Linked DNA regions of Pelodiscus sinensis. The protein of the gene in region 2 purifies or fractionates together with the protein of the main gene of each other region. This does not show direct contact. Links are inferred from orthologs where the notes say so. Each region holds a gene or a part of one and is shown on either strand. Other genes may lie near its edges.

Evidence for each region. The genes of interacting proteins can lie anywhere in the genome.
Region 1: the proteins of CHAF1B (region 2) and CBX1 purify together in Homo sapiens (affinity purification with mass spectrometry; 4 studies listed by BioGRID and IntAct, with this or other methods). This does not show direct contact. The link is inferred for Pelodiscus sinensis from reciprocal best matches to the Homo sapiens genes CHAF1B and CBX1.

What each region holds. Positions count from the first base shown.
Region 1 is NC_134739.1:13,775,070-13,782,648, forward strand, and holds the start of CBX1 (chromobox protein homolog 1), read right to left. Parts: upstream 3,173-7,579; 5' UTR 3,008-3,172; intron 1-3,007. UniProt on the Homo sapiens protein: Component of heterochromatin. Recognizes and binds histone H3 tails methylated at 'Lys-9', leading to epigenetic repression. Interaction with lamin B receptor (LBR) can contribute to the association of the heterochromatin with the inner nuclear membrane.
Region 2 is NC_134711.1:185,728,977-185,737,147, reverse strand, and holds the start of CHAF1B (chromatin assembly factor 1 subunit B), read right to left. Parts: upstream 3,138-8,171; 5' UTR 2,996-3,137; intron 2,956-2,995; exon of another isoform or gene 2,863-2,955; intron 686-2,862; 5' UTR 685-685; coding exon 559-684; intron 203-558; coding exon 70-202; intron 1-69. UniProt on the Homo sapiens protein: Acts as a component of the histone chaperone complex chromatin assembly factor 1 (CAF-1), which assembles histone octamers onto DNA during replication and repair.

The DNA.
Region 1 (7,579 bases), on a different chromosome or scaffold from region 2:
ACTCAGACTTTTCAGAAATATTAGCCTGGGTTGAGACCAAGCAAGATGAAATCTCCAGACTTGATGGAACATCTAGGACTGGTTCCTGCCTTTATTCACTTGCCATCTCGGCTAGTTATTCTTGTATTTCAATTTGAGAGGACAGTGAAATACCAGCCTGTCTTGTCTATTTCTAGCCAGTTTCACTGCCCTGCTCTCCAGAATTAAGACAAAGCTGTGACGTTTGAATTGCAAACCTGGCGGGAGCTGTTTAATCCAAACAAATTACCTGTGTAAGAAAGCCCAAGATTCATAGAATCTTAGTTAATTAAAATGGTTTAAAAGCCCTTAACAAAACCTGCATTTAGAACCTAAACATCATAACAGTCCCATTATCGTACCCACTTTACTTTGTAGTCACAGGACACACACCTCGCCTCTGCAACTCCATTAGCCCCAACACTGCCAGCACAATTCCAGCATCCCAAGGCCCTCAGCGTAGCTCTCACCTCCCCAACTACAGCTTCATCACGCTCTAGTTTTCAGATCCACTCCAGTCTCTGCCATCCCCCTAGCCCACCTCTCAGCCCACCTCTCCTCCCACTTTCCCCACACACAGGATCTTTGGGTTTCAGAGGGGGTAGCCCTGTTAGTCTGTAACTGAAAAAACTTAAACAACAAATAGTCTTGCAGCACCTTACAGATTAACAAAAAATGTAGAGGGGATCATGAGCTTTCGGGGGCATCTCCCCCCATCCCCTTTCTTTCCCTGCCTTTTATTTGTAAACTGGACCCCTTAACTTCATTCATCTGAAGAAGTGGGTTGTGCCCACGAAAGCTCAGTGCCTCCCTAGGACCTCCTGGCGCAGCTGTACCCCATACCTCTCTCCATCAGGCACACTCCAGCAAGCCATCAACTACCCCCAATACGCCTGGCGCAGCTTCATTCATTCCATAGCTTCATTCTCTCCCCTTCTTCAGGTTTACTGTCACCCCAACCTGGGCAGTCTGCAGCTGAACTGGGGGCCACATGTCCCAGAGTGCAGCTTCACCCCGGTTCCCTCCACGGAGGCAGCTTCTTCTCTACATGCCCCATGGTTCCCATTCAGAGCACAGCTCCATGTGCCCCATCCTGTCTCTTTAGTGCAGCTTCATTTCCAAGTGTCCCTTCCCCAAGCCCCAGTCCCACTAGAGTCTGTTCTGCCCCCTCTGAAAGTTCCATATCCACATCCCCACGAGACAGCCCTTGGGCTAGCTCCCCTCATTGCCTAGGACCACCTGGGAACAACAACTGCTCCTCGGAACCTCACCTGCAGCTTCACAGCCACGGAGCTACCCCCCAGGTACCCGCTGCGTTCCCCCTTCTGTGACGCTCCTCTCCCGTGTACACATCCCCACTCCCCATGGCTCCTGGCGCGGCCACCCGGCCACCCACCCCCTTCAACCTCCCCTTGCCAAAGATGTAGCTCCCCTCTGCACCCAGCTCTCCTGGGTCCCTCTCTCGAGCCCCACGCCCCCTTCCAATCCCTGCTCTACAAAGTTTCCATGCATCTCTCCCCTTCCCCACCAAGTCCCAGCTTCCCCATTGCCCCCCACAATCGAGCTCCCTCTCCCAATGCCAGCTTCCCTCCCCCAAATCCCAGCCCCAAGAGCACTGTTTGCAGCAAACCCTCCCCTCCCAAAATGCAGCCCCCCCATTCCAGACCCCACCTAATCCTAGTTGTACAATTTAGCCCTACAGCTTCCCCTCCCATCCCAGCGCCCCCCTGCAGCTCCCCCTCCCGTCTTGGCGCCCCCCTGCAGCTCCCCCCTCCCCCTCCCAGCGCCCCCCCTGCAGCTCCCCCTCCCCCTCCCATCCCAGCGCCCCCCTGCAGCTCCCCCTCCCCCTCCCGGAGCCCCCTTGCAGCCCCCCTCCCGTCCCAGCGCCCCCCCCCAGCACCCCCCTGCAGCTCCCGCTCCCCCCCTCCCGTCCCAGCGCCCCCCTGCAGCTCCCCCCTCCCCCTCCCGTCCCAGCGCCCCCCTGCAGCTCCCCCCTCCCCCTCCCGTCCAGCGCCCCCTGCAGCTCCCCCCTCCTGTCCCCCCTCCCCCTCCCAGCGCCCCCCTGCAGCTCCCCCTCCCGTCCCAGCGCCCCCCTGCAGCTCCCCCCTCCCCCTCCCAGCGCCCCCCTGCAGCCCCTCCTCCCTCCCCCCTCCGTCCCAGCGCCCCCCTGCAGCTCCCCCTCCCCCCTCCCGTCCCAGCGCCCCCCTGCAGCTCCCCCCTCCCGTCCCAGCGCCCCTCTGCAGCTCCCCCTCCCCCTCCCGTCCCAGCGCCCCCCTGCAGCTCCCCCCTCCCCCTCCCGTCCCAGCCCCCCCTGCAGCTCCCCCTCCCCCCCTCCCGTTCCAGCGCCCCCCTGCAGCTCCCCCTCCCCCCCTCCCGTCCCAGCGCCCCCCTGCAGCTCCCCCTCCCCCTCCCGTCCCAGCGCCCCCCTGCAGCTCCCCCCTCCCCCTCCCGTCCCAGCCCCCCCTGCAGCTCCCCCTCCCCCCCTCCCGTTCCAGCGCCCCCCTGCAGCTCCCCCTCCCCGTCCCAGCGCCCCCTGCAGCTCCCCCCTCCCCCCTCCCGTCCCAGCGCCCCCCTGCAGCTCCCCCCTCCCCCCTCCCGTCCCAGCGCCCCCCTGCAGCTCCCTCTCCCCCTCCCGTCCCAGCGCCCCCCTGCAGCTCCCCTCCCCCCTCCCGTCCCAGCGCCCCCCTGCAGCTCCCCCTCCCCCCTCCCGTCCCAGCGCCCCCCTGAAGCTCCCCCTCCCCCTCCCGTCCCAGCGCCCCCCTGCAGCTCCCCCTCCCCCCTCCCGTCCCAGCGCCCCCCTGCAGCTCCCTCTCCCCCCTCCCGTCCCAGCGCCCCCCCTGCAGCTCCCCCTCCCCCTCCCGTCCCAGCGCCCCCCTGCAGCTCCCCCCTCCCCCCTCCCGTCCCAGCGCCCCCCTGCAGCTCCCCCCTCCCCCCCCGCGCCCCCCTGCAGCTCCCCCCTCCCCCCCCAGCGCCCCGCCCCCCCGCTCACTTTTCACAGCCTCGCCAACGGTGCCGGGGCGGAGCGGGGCTGCGCGCGGGGCCGGGCCGAGCTGAGGCGGGGGCGGGGGGGCCGGGTCCGTTGCCGGGGGCGCCACAGGCCTGGCCGCTCGCGATCCGCCTCCGCCAAACAAAAGAGCCCAGCAACCCCCTGTACCCGCCGAGCGCACTGCGCCTGCGCGGCGACCCCCGCCCCGCCCGCGGCACGCTGGGCCATGGAGTCCCGCCGTTGGACGACGGCTCCCAGCAGGCCTAGCGGCGCCCGCCCTTTCGCCGCGCTGCCTGCTGGGTGTTGTAGTCCGGGAGAGCTGGAGGGGGGAGCCCAACCAAGCCCAGCCCACGTGCGTGGCCCCAGGGAGCCACAGGCTCCCCCCTCCGCCCAGGCTGGCTGCAGGGCTGCCACCGCTCCCCCTGTCCATGAGTTCAGCAAGCCCCCGGCTGAGCGCGGCGGAAAGCTCCAGCTCCCGGAGGCAGGGGACTCCAGTGAAAAGGGAACTGCCGCCCCTAGGAGCACTGGCCTCTGCAGAGCGGCGCAGACCCCACTGAGCCCACAGTGGCCAGCCCAGGATGCGCCAGAGAAAGGCGAGAGAATCATCCAGCCCGCACCTAGGGGACGAGTTCCCTCCTGCAGGTCTCACCCTGATCTCCAGCAGTTAAGAGCCTGATTAGGCTGAAGTATAAGGGTTAATATCCCTTCAAACGTGTGTGGGGATTATGTATGGCACTGCATAGCCTTGATACCTATTTAAATATCCAATCCCTTTAATACAGTTACAAAAAATGTCTTTGCCAAAGGATCAAGGCCCACAAAACAGATATTAGACAGGATCACAAAGAAAAACAGTTTCTTGCCATTTCAACCAGAAAGGACACTGTCTCAATGACTTGATTACCTGCATCCTGCTTCAAAGGCCTTTTCAGACCACACTTCAAAGAGAATCCTCTGAACTGTCATTCATGCTTAAATTCGACACTTTACACTTAGGTTTAAACAAAGACATTAATTATCTTACCCATTACAAAGATAGCTTCCCCAATTATCACCTCTAATATCATTAGCTCACAGACATTTACCATCCCCTTTCTGTTCTGAAATTTGATTTGTCCTTTTCATATGTGTTCATTTTTTAACTGTATCCTTTGGTATATATGGTTGTGCCAATTTTCTTCCACTATTTGATCTGAGGAAGTGGGTCTGGCCCACGAAAGCTCATCACCTAATAAACCATCTTGTTAGTCTTTAAAGTGCTACATGGTCCTGTTTTTTGTTCTTTTTAATACAGGTTGAACCTCTCAAGTCTGGCACTCTGGTCTGGCACCATCCATGATCCGACGTGATTTTAGGCAGCCGGATGGCAACTTACAGTGGGTGTGGCCAAGTTCCCGCGGTGCCATAAAGTTTGTTTACAGCCACCCGACCTGGCTCTCAGTGCTCTGGGCTGTTATTTAGTCTTCTAAGAGCCCAGTAAGCAGTGGCAGTGTTAGTAATGCTGCTAGTTAATACTGACCTCTCCTGGTTCAGCAAATTCTCTGGTTTGGCACCAGTCAGGTCTTGAGAGCTCTGGACTAGAGGTGCAATCTGTTGTTTGTTAATTTCTTGGCCTCAATTTCTTCCGGTGGTAACGAGTTTCACGTTTTTATCACACCGTGGATGAAGAAGTATTTCCTTTTGTTGGTTTTACCACCATCTTCATGTGTTATGAAACAGGGAAATAAAAATGCTCAATAAACCTTCTTTATGCTAAAAAGCCCCCAAAGACTTGTAAACCAGAAAGCAAACAAAAATACCACAGCGCTTATTCTTTTTTTAAAAATTTGGTTTTAAAGCTAATCACATGATTTTTAAAGGCCTGATGTTGGAAAGCTTGAGGTGGGCAATACTGCTATAGAACACGAAAGAACAACACCACCCCCGTTAAAAGCATTTTCGGAAAAGAGCATCTAGATTGGCACGGAAAAGTGTCTGTGCCAATCTAGATGCACTTTTCCACAAAAAAGCCCCAATCGCCATTTTCGCCATCAGGGCTTTTTTGCGGAAAACAAATCTGAGCTGTCTACACTGGCCCTTTTGTGCAAAAGTTTTGCGCAAAAGGACTTTTGCCCGAACGGGAGCAGCATAGTATTTCCGCAAGAACACCAACAATCTTACATGAGATTGTCAGTGCTTTTGCGGAAATTCAAGCGGCCAGTGTAGACAGCTGGCAAGTTTTTCCGGAAAAGCAGCTGATTTTCTGGAAAAACTGGCCAGTCTAGACACAGCCAGCTTATGTGTGGTTTGTGCTGCGTGACACTAGCCACCACCAACCAGGTAGGTCTGGGATTAGGGGCAGCCACAGTGTAAAGATGGGTCGTGATGCCACTATGCATGTGCAGAAAGTCCTGCATGTATGGGACTCATCTGTATTTCCATTACACAGCCAAGGAAAATGGGTCAGGGTTACCAAAGGGTTAGTACTGTCAGGTGGCAGGGATACTGAGTCACTAGAGGCTGCTGTTACCAGGCCTGTGTTCCTGGAACATCCCACCTTCAACACTTTCCACTTGGGCTCCCTGGAATGCTGTTTTGCTGGGCACTGGTTACGCAAGCTGACCCAGGACAGGAAGTGGTCATGGGATCAATCCCGTAGGAGAGGAGGAAGGACTGCTCACCCAAGTCAAGGGAAAGAGGGGGAGGGAGCTCCTTTTTGTTCTTCTCACCTTCAGCCCTGTAGTTTTCTTTTCTGAGCCTTTGGGTTTACGCAGGTCACATTTTCAAGCTTTTCTCTGCAGCGGGCTAGGAACGTACTTTTGTTTCCAATGAAAGCTGAGATTCCCACGAATAATTTGACTCCAGAAAAACATGGAATGTCCTGAGAAGGATGACAAAAGCGTGGGAGTTGGCAACACTTCTTAAAGGCCTCCACAAAGGCCTTGATGAAACAAGAGAGGGTTGTCGGGGGGGGGGGGGGGGGGGGGGGGGGGGGGAAGGAGGAAGGGCAGCTCTGCTGTCTATTAGTTCTAGGATATTAAAGAGATAAGGCTGGGGATGCAACATCTTTTACTGGACCAACTTTTGTTGGTGAAAGAGACAAGCTGTCAAACTCCACATAGCTCTTCTTCAGGTCTGGAAAATGTATTCAGGGTACAAGGTGGAGCAGATGGATTAACATCAGTAGCTACCACACTTAAGGGCTCATTCAAAGTGAAGTGCCCTTTGTTAACGCCTGGGGACAAGGGGGGTGGGGAAGGAAGGAAAAAACGTGGAGCAGCGTTTAAGTGTCATAATAAGGAATAAATCCAGTGTTTCTACTCAGCCCATAATTTTGAGGATCTAGCAGAATCATGAATGTTAGTTTTCAGGCTTGTCTTTTGAAGGTGTTGCTCAAATTTCCTCTCCTGACTGTACCCCCATGTGTACACTGGGGTTGGCACAGCTATTGCCTTTGGAGGAGGTGGATTAAGTATACTGACCGGAGAGAGCTCTCTTGGCTGGTATAAATAAAACCGCCTCCATGAGCGGCACAAGCTACGTTGGTTAAAGCTCTCCGGCTGACACGGCGCCGGGCACGCAGGCGCTTACGTTGGAGTAACTCACGTTGCGCAGCGCGGTGCGAAGTTCCTGTTCCTGTGCGGCCAGGGCTGGCCTTCCCATGAGGCGAACTGAGGCGGCCACCTCAGGGGCCAGACTGGGGGGGGGGGCACTAGAGTGTAGAAAATTGTGTCTGCTGCTGGTGCATCTGTATCCTCTCTGCTCTCGATGCACAGAGCTGGAGGAGCGCTGTGCAGGAGGAAGGCGGGCACAAGAGACGTAACGGTCAGGCAGGAGAAGGGGCACAGGGGCGTCACTTGAGCTCCCCGCCTCAGGTACCAAAATGTTACGGGCCGGCCCTGTGCGCGGCAGACGCTCTGCCGACGGCAGGCCGTAGCGTGAGGTCGTGGGCTAAGCGCGCCAGTGGTTCACATGCCGATGTGCCCTCCTCACCTTTCCCCAAACTCGGGGCTTGTCTCTCTCCCCGGCTGCCCTTGGTCCAACAAAAAGTTTTCCTCTCGCCCACCTTGTCCCCTGGGGAGGCTGGTTTTACAGGGGGGGACTCAAAGACATCCATCAACATGGGCATCTGTCAGAGTCTGCATCCTCAGGGTGGGGACCACCCTGCACACCCATGCACCCCTCTTCTCCAGCTCCCTCCCTCCTCATCCTCCTCCCCCTTCCTCCCGCTGGCCCCCTCTTCGCTCTGCTCTCAGCTTGGCCTCGGGCTTGTTTGCATCTGCATCCCCCTCGGGGTAGAGGGCGTGTGTGGGGGGGGGGGGAGCGGAGGGGCTAGAACTACAACTCCCAGCCTGCCCCGGGACCGCACCGGAAGGAGCCCCTGAGCGTGGCTATAAGGGGCCGGGCCCAGCCCTTCACCTCTTAAAGGGGCCGCGCCGGCTGCAGACGCCTGTCCTGCGGGAAGCGGTGAGGAGCCGGGGCAGGGGCGGTCTCCGGAGCGGGGGGCGCTGGGGTAGGGGGGAGGCAGCCATGGCCAGAGTGGGGGGAGAGGGGCATTGGGTAGGAGGGGGGCGGGAACCGTGGGAGGGGGGGGAG
Region 2 (8,171 bases):
TCGGAAATGTTCTGTGCTCTTTTTACATGACTTTCATCTATCTTTTTTATATTGTTTTTTGTTACTCACCGTCTCCTCCTGATGCTAAAACCTCACCATTGGGAGAGAAACGCACAACATTCACTGCTTTCGTATGGCGAGCTAGATTTGATAAGAATTCCACAATTGCTTTCCCATCTGGTCCTTTTTCCACTTTCCATATCTAGTTATAAAAGAATTACATATAGTAAATTGCCTGCTATATACCTGAAAATTGATTAATTTTTAATCTTGTGCACCATTTTCTTCAGTTCCGTTATTTATATATTTTGCAAGGAGGCAGAAGGAATGCAGATATTTCAAAAATCTTACCCAAACTTGATGAAATTAAGAAGCATTATTATTCAGAAAATTAAACTCAAGTTGACAAAACTCATGGCCCACTTTCTCATAACCTTTTATCTGAGTCACTCACTTGTGGGGCAGTAGGAAACTGGAAGAATGTGAGATTTTTAAGTAAAATTAAATGTCTTGTTAGATATTCTGCTCACACTAAAATCAGCGAAATTTGGAACTCACACGAACAGCAGTGTCTACTCCTGCTGAGGCCAGTCGATTGATTTTCCCTTCAGTTCCATGTTGGAAGTCTAAGCTATACACCGGCTCTTTGTTGTGCCATGCTATTTCACAAGTGATGACCTTCATTCTTTTTAAAGGAAAACATGGCAGATATCAGATATTTTGCATTTATTTTTACAAGAATTATAGTCAAAGTTAATAACAAACAGAGAAATTTTAAGAAAAACATTACAGTAAATTACAAAAGATTACTAAAAGTCTCGGAGGGGTAGCAGTATTAGTCTGTAACTAAAAAAAAGGGAAAAAAACAACAACATTGGTCCTGTAGCACCTTAGAGACTAACAAAATATATAAATATCATGAGCTTTCGTGGGCACAACCCACTTGGACAGATGTGAAAGCAAGGGGCCCAGTGTCTCAGTCTGCCCTGTGGCATGTCCCACTCGATCCACAGGCAGGGAGCAGCCCCAGAGCTCAGAGGGCTAGCTGTTCCATCTCTCTCTGGCTATGTCTAGACTGCAAGTTTCTTTCAAAAAAGAGCATCTAGACTACAATCAGTCTGGATGCTCTCTTTCGAAAAAGCACAGTTTGCATTACACAGCGCCTTTTTTTGCAAGAGCACTTTTGAAAAAAGGCGTTATTCCTCGTGAAATGAGGAGTGCCACCATTGAAAGAAAAGCCGTGTTCTTTCAATGTAATTTTGAAAGAACGAGGCTGTAGTCTAGATGCAGGTGAAGTTTTTTTCGAAAAAAGGCTACTTTTTTTCGAAAAAACCCTGCAGTTTAGACACAGCCTCTCTGTGGTCAGGAGGAAGGGGGAAGCTCTGTGCACTGTGAACCCTGTCCTTCACCCAAACACCCCCTAATAACCTCTCCTGCACCCAAATTCTCTACCTCAAGCTCCATTCTGCACCCATCCTCCATCTCAGACCTCCCATCCCCTCCATAGAAAAGTGTGGCCCTTGACCACTTACCAACATTTTGGAGTGGCCCCACCACATCAAAAATTATTGCTCACCCCTAGTTTATGATAACTGACATTTTCTGCAAGAGCAATAACCTTTTCAGAGAATAAGCCATAGCTCTCAACTCCATGACTGGAAATCTTATTATGATGACAGAGTTGTGCTGGAGCAGTGTTTAGGTACATTTCTTTGGACATAAATGTTTTCCGATCCCCAGATCTCAAAGTGGTTGCATTCTTCATGTTGCTCTGATCCCTCCACTGCCTGCTTTGACTGCAGCAAAAATAATTGCATAGGCTGGTTTTTGAGTCAGCAAGTGCAGCAAGAATAATGCTAGAAACACAGCAAGCAGGGAGAGATGGGTAAAAGAGGAATTCACTGTTCAGTGCAGCAGACCTCATGGACCATGAAAGTTAAGGTAAAATGAAGAGAAAAGATTTAGCATGCTGGAGAGGGAAGAGAGATGAACCTAGGAAAAGTGGGACTTGAGATGGATCAGAACAGAAATTCTTCCTCCTAAGAAAAGAGAAGAGCTGCTTACTAGTCACACAAAAGATGCTAAAAAAATAGTCTGGTAGCACTTTATAGACTAACAAAACATGTAGATGGTATCATGAGCTTTCGTGGGCACAGCCCACTTCTTCAGATGAGCGGAGTACAGCCGCTCCCCGAGTTATGAACAAGTTACGCACCAACACTTGGTCCGTAACTCGAAGTGTTCACAACTTGGATCCCATAGTGTTACATGGCGACGGCGCTGTTCGTAAGCATGGATCGCCGTTCGGAACTCGGATCCGCATTTCCGACTGCTTTGGTCCTAAGTGCGGATGGTCGTAAAAGTGGAGGTGGGCGTAACTCAGAGAGCGACTGTCGTGGATGGCCAGCATTGTGGCCATCTGAAGAAGTGGGCTGTGCCCACGAAAGCTCACGATCCCATCTCCATGTTTTGTTAGTCTATAAAGTGCTACCAGCCTATCTGTTGCTTTTTCAGTTGTTGCTGTTCCAGCCTGGCTACCCCTCGGAAGCGTTTGAACAAGAGAGGCCTCAGCAACAAGGGAGCAATGTTCGCTGACCCAGCGGCTCTCTTCCGGCTCTGCACATCGCCACCGCGCTGCCGACAGGGCGCAGGAGCGTCACACGCACAAACCCGCGGTTAAAAGGGCGAATCCCCCCGGAGCGACACAGGCAGAGGGGGGCGGAGCGGATACACCCGCAAACCAACCCCCCCCCCTTTCAAAATGCTCCAGCGCCCCCGCCCCCCAGAAAACACCGGCCCGGCAGCAGCGCGCCCCTGGGGCAGGGGGGAGGAAGCCGCAGCGACCCTGTAGCTGCTTCTCACCAAAGCCCAGCGCCGCGTCCCCAGCGTCACCCCCCCATCACCCTCCAATACTGGGGGGCGCACCGCGGTTACAGCGGGGTCACCGCCCCCGGCGCTCCCCCCTCCCCGCCCCGAGCCTTCGGTTGCCGGTTACCTGAGGCAGGCGCGCGCGGGGCAAAGGAGGCGGGTGCCGCCGGCCGGGTTCCTCTTTCCCGCGCACCACGGCTCGCCCGCACGAACCACGCATGCGCGCGCTGACACTTCCCGGGGGGGGGGGGGACTTGCAAGGATGCAGCGCCACCTGCTGGGCAGCGCCCGCGGAGCCCACAGCCAGGGCTGGGTAGGGCTGTAGGGTTGCCATGGCAACTCTCTAATAGCACGCTCTGTTCCCTTTGCCCCGCCCCCCATTCCACCCCCCTCCCAGCCTAGTGGGGCTGCGATGCTGGTGGGTTGCAGGGGGCACTTATCTAAGGTTGCTGCCTGGAACTCCCATAGTGGTGATTCCCAGCCAATGGCAGCTGCAGAGCCAGTACTCAGGGAGACGGGGCACACAGCTTCCTTGCCTCCCAGCCCCACATATGCCAGGGGAAAGCTGAAACATACCAGTAGCTTCAGCCCACCTTAGCCCCATCTTGCTACTGACTAGTCTTTTAACAGCATAGTCAACAGTCCTGACCAGAGCCCAGCATCCACTTTGTGTTAGGGAAGGGGAAGGCAGGGAGAGCTCCAACTGGTGGTGACAAGAACAGAAGGGGGGTATAAATAGGCAGAGCAGCAGCCATTCCCTCTTCTGAGTCACTATTTGAATCCAAGGACGTGGGCAGGCACAAGCCCAGTTCACTTCTAAAAGCCCCTCTCCGAGCCTTGCAGGAAGGTCCACTGGACCCAGGATTCCATTGATTATGGGGGACAAACAATGAATAAAGGGATCAGGAGTGCAGGTCATAGGTTCAAAACAACGGAGCCAGATGGAGACACCAAGCAGAGAACCTTAGACAGCACCCACTGCTCCTTGAAGCTATCCAGGGAGCAACTGGACACTGCCCAGAAGAACTCTGCCCCGATGTGAGTGTAGGAAGAAGCAGAAATAGGCCCCACAGTCACAGAACACCCCTTTGTTCAGCATCCTTCTCCTGGTGTGGTACATGTCAGCTTTCACTAGGGCCAGGAGGAGGTCGACAAGGTGTCTCAACTTTGTGGGGCCACAGATGCCTGGCTACCCCAGGATTTTATAGTGTGTCTTGGCAAAGGGGCAGATTGTTTTATGTAAGAATGCGGAGAAGAAAATCTATTGCACTGGATGGGGTGTGTATCAGATAAAGCCACATATTGTGTGGTAATTAATTAGCTACATGCTGTGATAAGGGAGCTTAACAAAATTTTGGAAACTGAACTGGCATTCCAGAAATAAAGTTGAGATTTGGTGCTGTACCCCTCTACCTCTTTGTAAAATAGGGACAATACTATTTTATATTAAGCAATTTTTCAGCAATAGTATGCTATGACACTTTTAAATTATGACTGATTTTGTAAGAAGTTTTTAAGTGATGTGTAACTTGGGAGTAAGCAAGACAGATCAGACTCCTCAAAGGGTTACAGTAGTCTGGAGAGGTTGAGAGGCACAGCTTTATAGCTCAAATAGTAATGCTCTGAGATACCCAACCTGATAGAGGCAAAGTTACACCTTGAAAAATGACAATTGTTTTCTACAAAAGCAAGTTAAATAAACTTAACATTCTGTCTTTTTTGGCACTTGAACAGCAAGAAATCTTCTGTTTGGGTAAAGAGGGAAAGTCTTCTATGCATTTTGCTAAACTAAACATTTGTAAAAATATAGCAAAGTTTATTAGCACAGTGTTTCTCAACCAGTGGTATGAGTACCCTTAGGGGTACTTGAGAGACGTCTGGGGGTACTTCAACAATAACATCTAGAGAACTGAATTTTTGTTTTAAGTTTTACAGTGCTGTTATTTTTGTAATTTTTACAGCCAAAAATTTCATTGCTCACCCAGCTACAATTAAGTTGTTTAAAAAAGTCACTTTTTTCTACCATTGCGTCTGAAAACTGTCGGTACGGGGGGTACTTCTAATTTTTTTTTTTTTAAAGGGGGTACTTTATAAAAAGAAGGTTGAGAAACACTGTATTAGCACATCCAAACAATGATTTCACATTGCAAAATAGTGTAACAAGTGCTTCAGGGCTCTTAAACTAGAATTATATGCAGGGCTCGACAATCTATGTGATCTACTTGCCCGTGGCAAGATGATTACAACCTGGAAGAGCTGGGTCTGGGTGATCTGCACATGCACAGAATGCCGGACAGCGTGGCTGGCGAGCAGGGCTCACCGCAGCTTGGCAAGCCCTGGTTCTATGTATATTTTCCCACCCCATGACAGTTATATTTCAGTGCACAGCAGAGACCTATTCCACTTCAGCACTCGTGGTGATACTGGTATTTGTGGGCAGGGAGATGAAGCATACTGGTATCCTTCATGTAGACCACCCCTTTCACCACGGCTATTCAACATGTGGCCCACAGCCCATTCATTTGCGGCCCATGGTGGGGTTTGGGTTTATGCACAGCATACAGCCCGCAGGTGGGATCCTTTGAACATGGCCTACACTGGGAACGACTTCCACAAGGGCAAGGTATCTCCCAGGAGGTGTGAGCATTGAAAGATGCAGATGGATGGGCTGGCTGAAACAGATGGGTACAGGGCATCAGCATTTCTAGCTCCCTTCCTCCTCACTCCCCCCCACCCCCGAAGGTGGTGTGGGAGTGCCAGGGCATTGTGGGAAGGGTTAGCCGCTCAGCCTTGTGGGCAGAGCCTGAGAGGTGCAGACTGGCTCAAACTGGCCACGTTTGTGTCCGGCGCTACGGCTTAAAACAATCTTTGTATTCATGCCCATCAGTGTGAAAAGCTATTTGCATGTATATGCAACCACACTTAAGTTGCAGCCCTCAGCATGCACTGTATCATTGTGGCTTCAGGGCTTCCAAAGTTGAGTAGCCCTGCCTTATAGGGAGGCATAGCACATTGCCCTTAGGTTACACAAGCTTTTGGGGGACAGCAGTGGAATGCTGGACATTGGGATCTTACATTTTCATTCCTGGGTTGGATCAGGTCTGTTTGCGGTATAGTAGTTATAGACAGGATAACCAAATGTACCTATAATAGATTGGGGAGTTTCCTGTGATACTCTGGATAAACATTAATTTTATGCATCAGTGGTAGCCTAAGGAACATATGCAATTCAATGTAGGATGGGAGATCACTGTCCTCCAGGAATTAAGAGGTGTTGAAGGGTGGAGTGGGGTTGGGCTAGGCAAATTCATTTCTGTTGTAACACTGTCAGTGCTAGCTCTCTGGAAGAGTCTTGCCTTTACTTGTGCAAACTGGACTCTCCAGGACACCTTCCTCCCCCAAAATGCGAGAACGTAAGTAGTTTGAGTTAAATTAATATGGGACCATCGTTCTGATCCAGCTAACAGGACATTCTATCCAAAATTAATATGGGACCATCGTTCTGATCCAGCTAACAGGACATTCTATCCAACCAGAGGGCCTCATTTCTCAGGAAAGTGTTGAAAGGACTTAAGACCAGAGACCTTTTGGGAGATGGGGTGTGATCTCTAGTAAGTTTAGTGTACATAAAACAATAAAAACCCTATGGTTTTTTCCTGTAATTCTTTTACCTTAAGAATAAACATGTTTGCTTAGAAAGAGCTGTGTGGTAACTTAATTGTGGTACATACACTGTTTACAGTTCTAGATGAGAAAAGCAAAAAAACAGGATTGTTTAGGCAGTCTGACTTGCTGGATAATTCACAGTACAGGCAATGAACTGTGCAGCCTGGAAATAACCTGGTCAGGAGGAAGAAAGCCCTGATAAGCTGAGGAGCTAGCTGGGATCTTAGAACAGGTACCCTTTGCTAGATTCATAGAGGGGGAAAATCAGATGCAGTTGCCTTGAACTGTGAAAGCACCAACACCACCCTTGTTTAGGGAATCGGATATTGAACCTGGGACTACTGGAGGCTTGATTTCATATTCAAAGACTGGAACTTAAAATAAATACAATTTAAAAAATCAGGTCTCATCATGGAAGTAGAGTCAAGCCATCTATATGTGGTCCCACCGCTAAAGAGTGACAACTACACTTTTAGCATGGATTACAGAAAAATCAATTTGACATTCTTCTGAAAGACTACATGGTAAAGTAGATGACATTTCTATAATGGTGAATGTTAAAATAAAGCCAGAGAGCACTATTAAGTATGTTATTTAAAACAAAATTATTTTTTATTGACCAGTTAAAAGTTTTGATCTGACAAAACCAGAACGTGCTTTTTACAAAAAATACATCTATTTACTTTAACAAGTAAACTTACTCTCATTTACCCGCTGTTCCTCAAAATTTAAATGTACAGTATAAATTTTTACTTTTCAATATAGACATTATATTTTACCAGTCATGTATAATAAATTCAACTACAGAAGTAACTGGACAAAACACTTAGAAAATAAATAATGATAGACAAAATGAAAAATTGCACACCAGTTTATCAAAAATGACTTAGGTATATGAACATTTTCATATTTCAGTTACGTATTCAAAATTAAACATTAAATGTATCCATTAGAAACACAATAATATTTCATTATCTCTAGTAGCATAATACTAGATCAGGTACTCAAGATACTCTTAGGCTAAAAAGACTAGCAACGAAGGGAATGCAACTTAATTTAAACAAGACAGTAAGGTTGCTTAAGCCAAAAAAAATATGTTGGTATTTTGATGTTTCACATTAATATGTTTCTAATATTAAAGGGGTGTATTCATGATTGTTTTAAAGATTTTAATTAAAACAGTTTTTGTTTTGATTAGTTGAATGAGAGAACACCTCTGCTGGCTGGGGAAAAAATATGGTTGGAAGGAACTTACCATCCCCATATTTCTCCTCAACACTTTAATTTACTATTTGTGGTTTTCAATTTTGCATATTTTTATGAGCAAAAAAACCAGGCTAGTCCTTTTATTTCTAGTCTTTTTCTGATTCTCATGCACAATTCTATTGTATCTGCAAAACAGGAGTATGTTTAAATTTGAGTTAAGTTTTCAGTTTTAATAAATTCATCGGTCATTAACACCATCAGGAAGGTTATTTGCTTTTGAAAGCATCTTTAGCTTAAATACCCTTTTAATTGCGTAATTCCTCCAACACCGAGTACACCCTATTGTACTCACAGCATGCTGCATTATTGGTATTTTCATGGGAAATGAAAGTAGGAGACAGATTACAGTAGTGTTATTTCAAAAAGTCTAG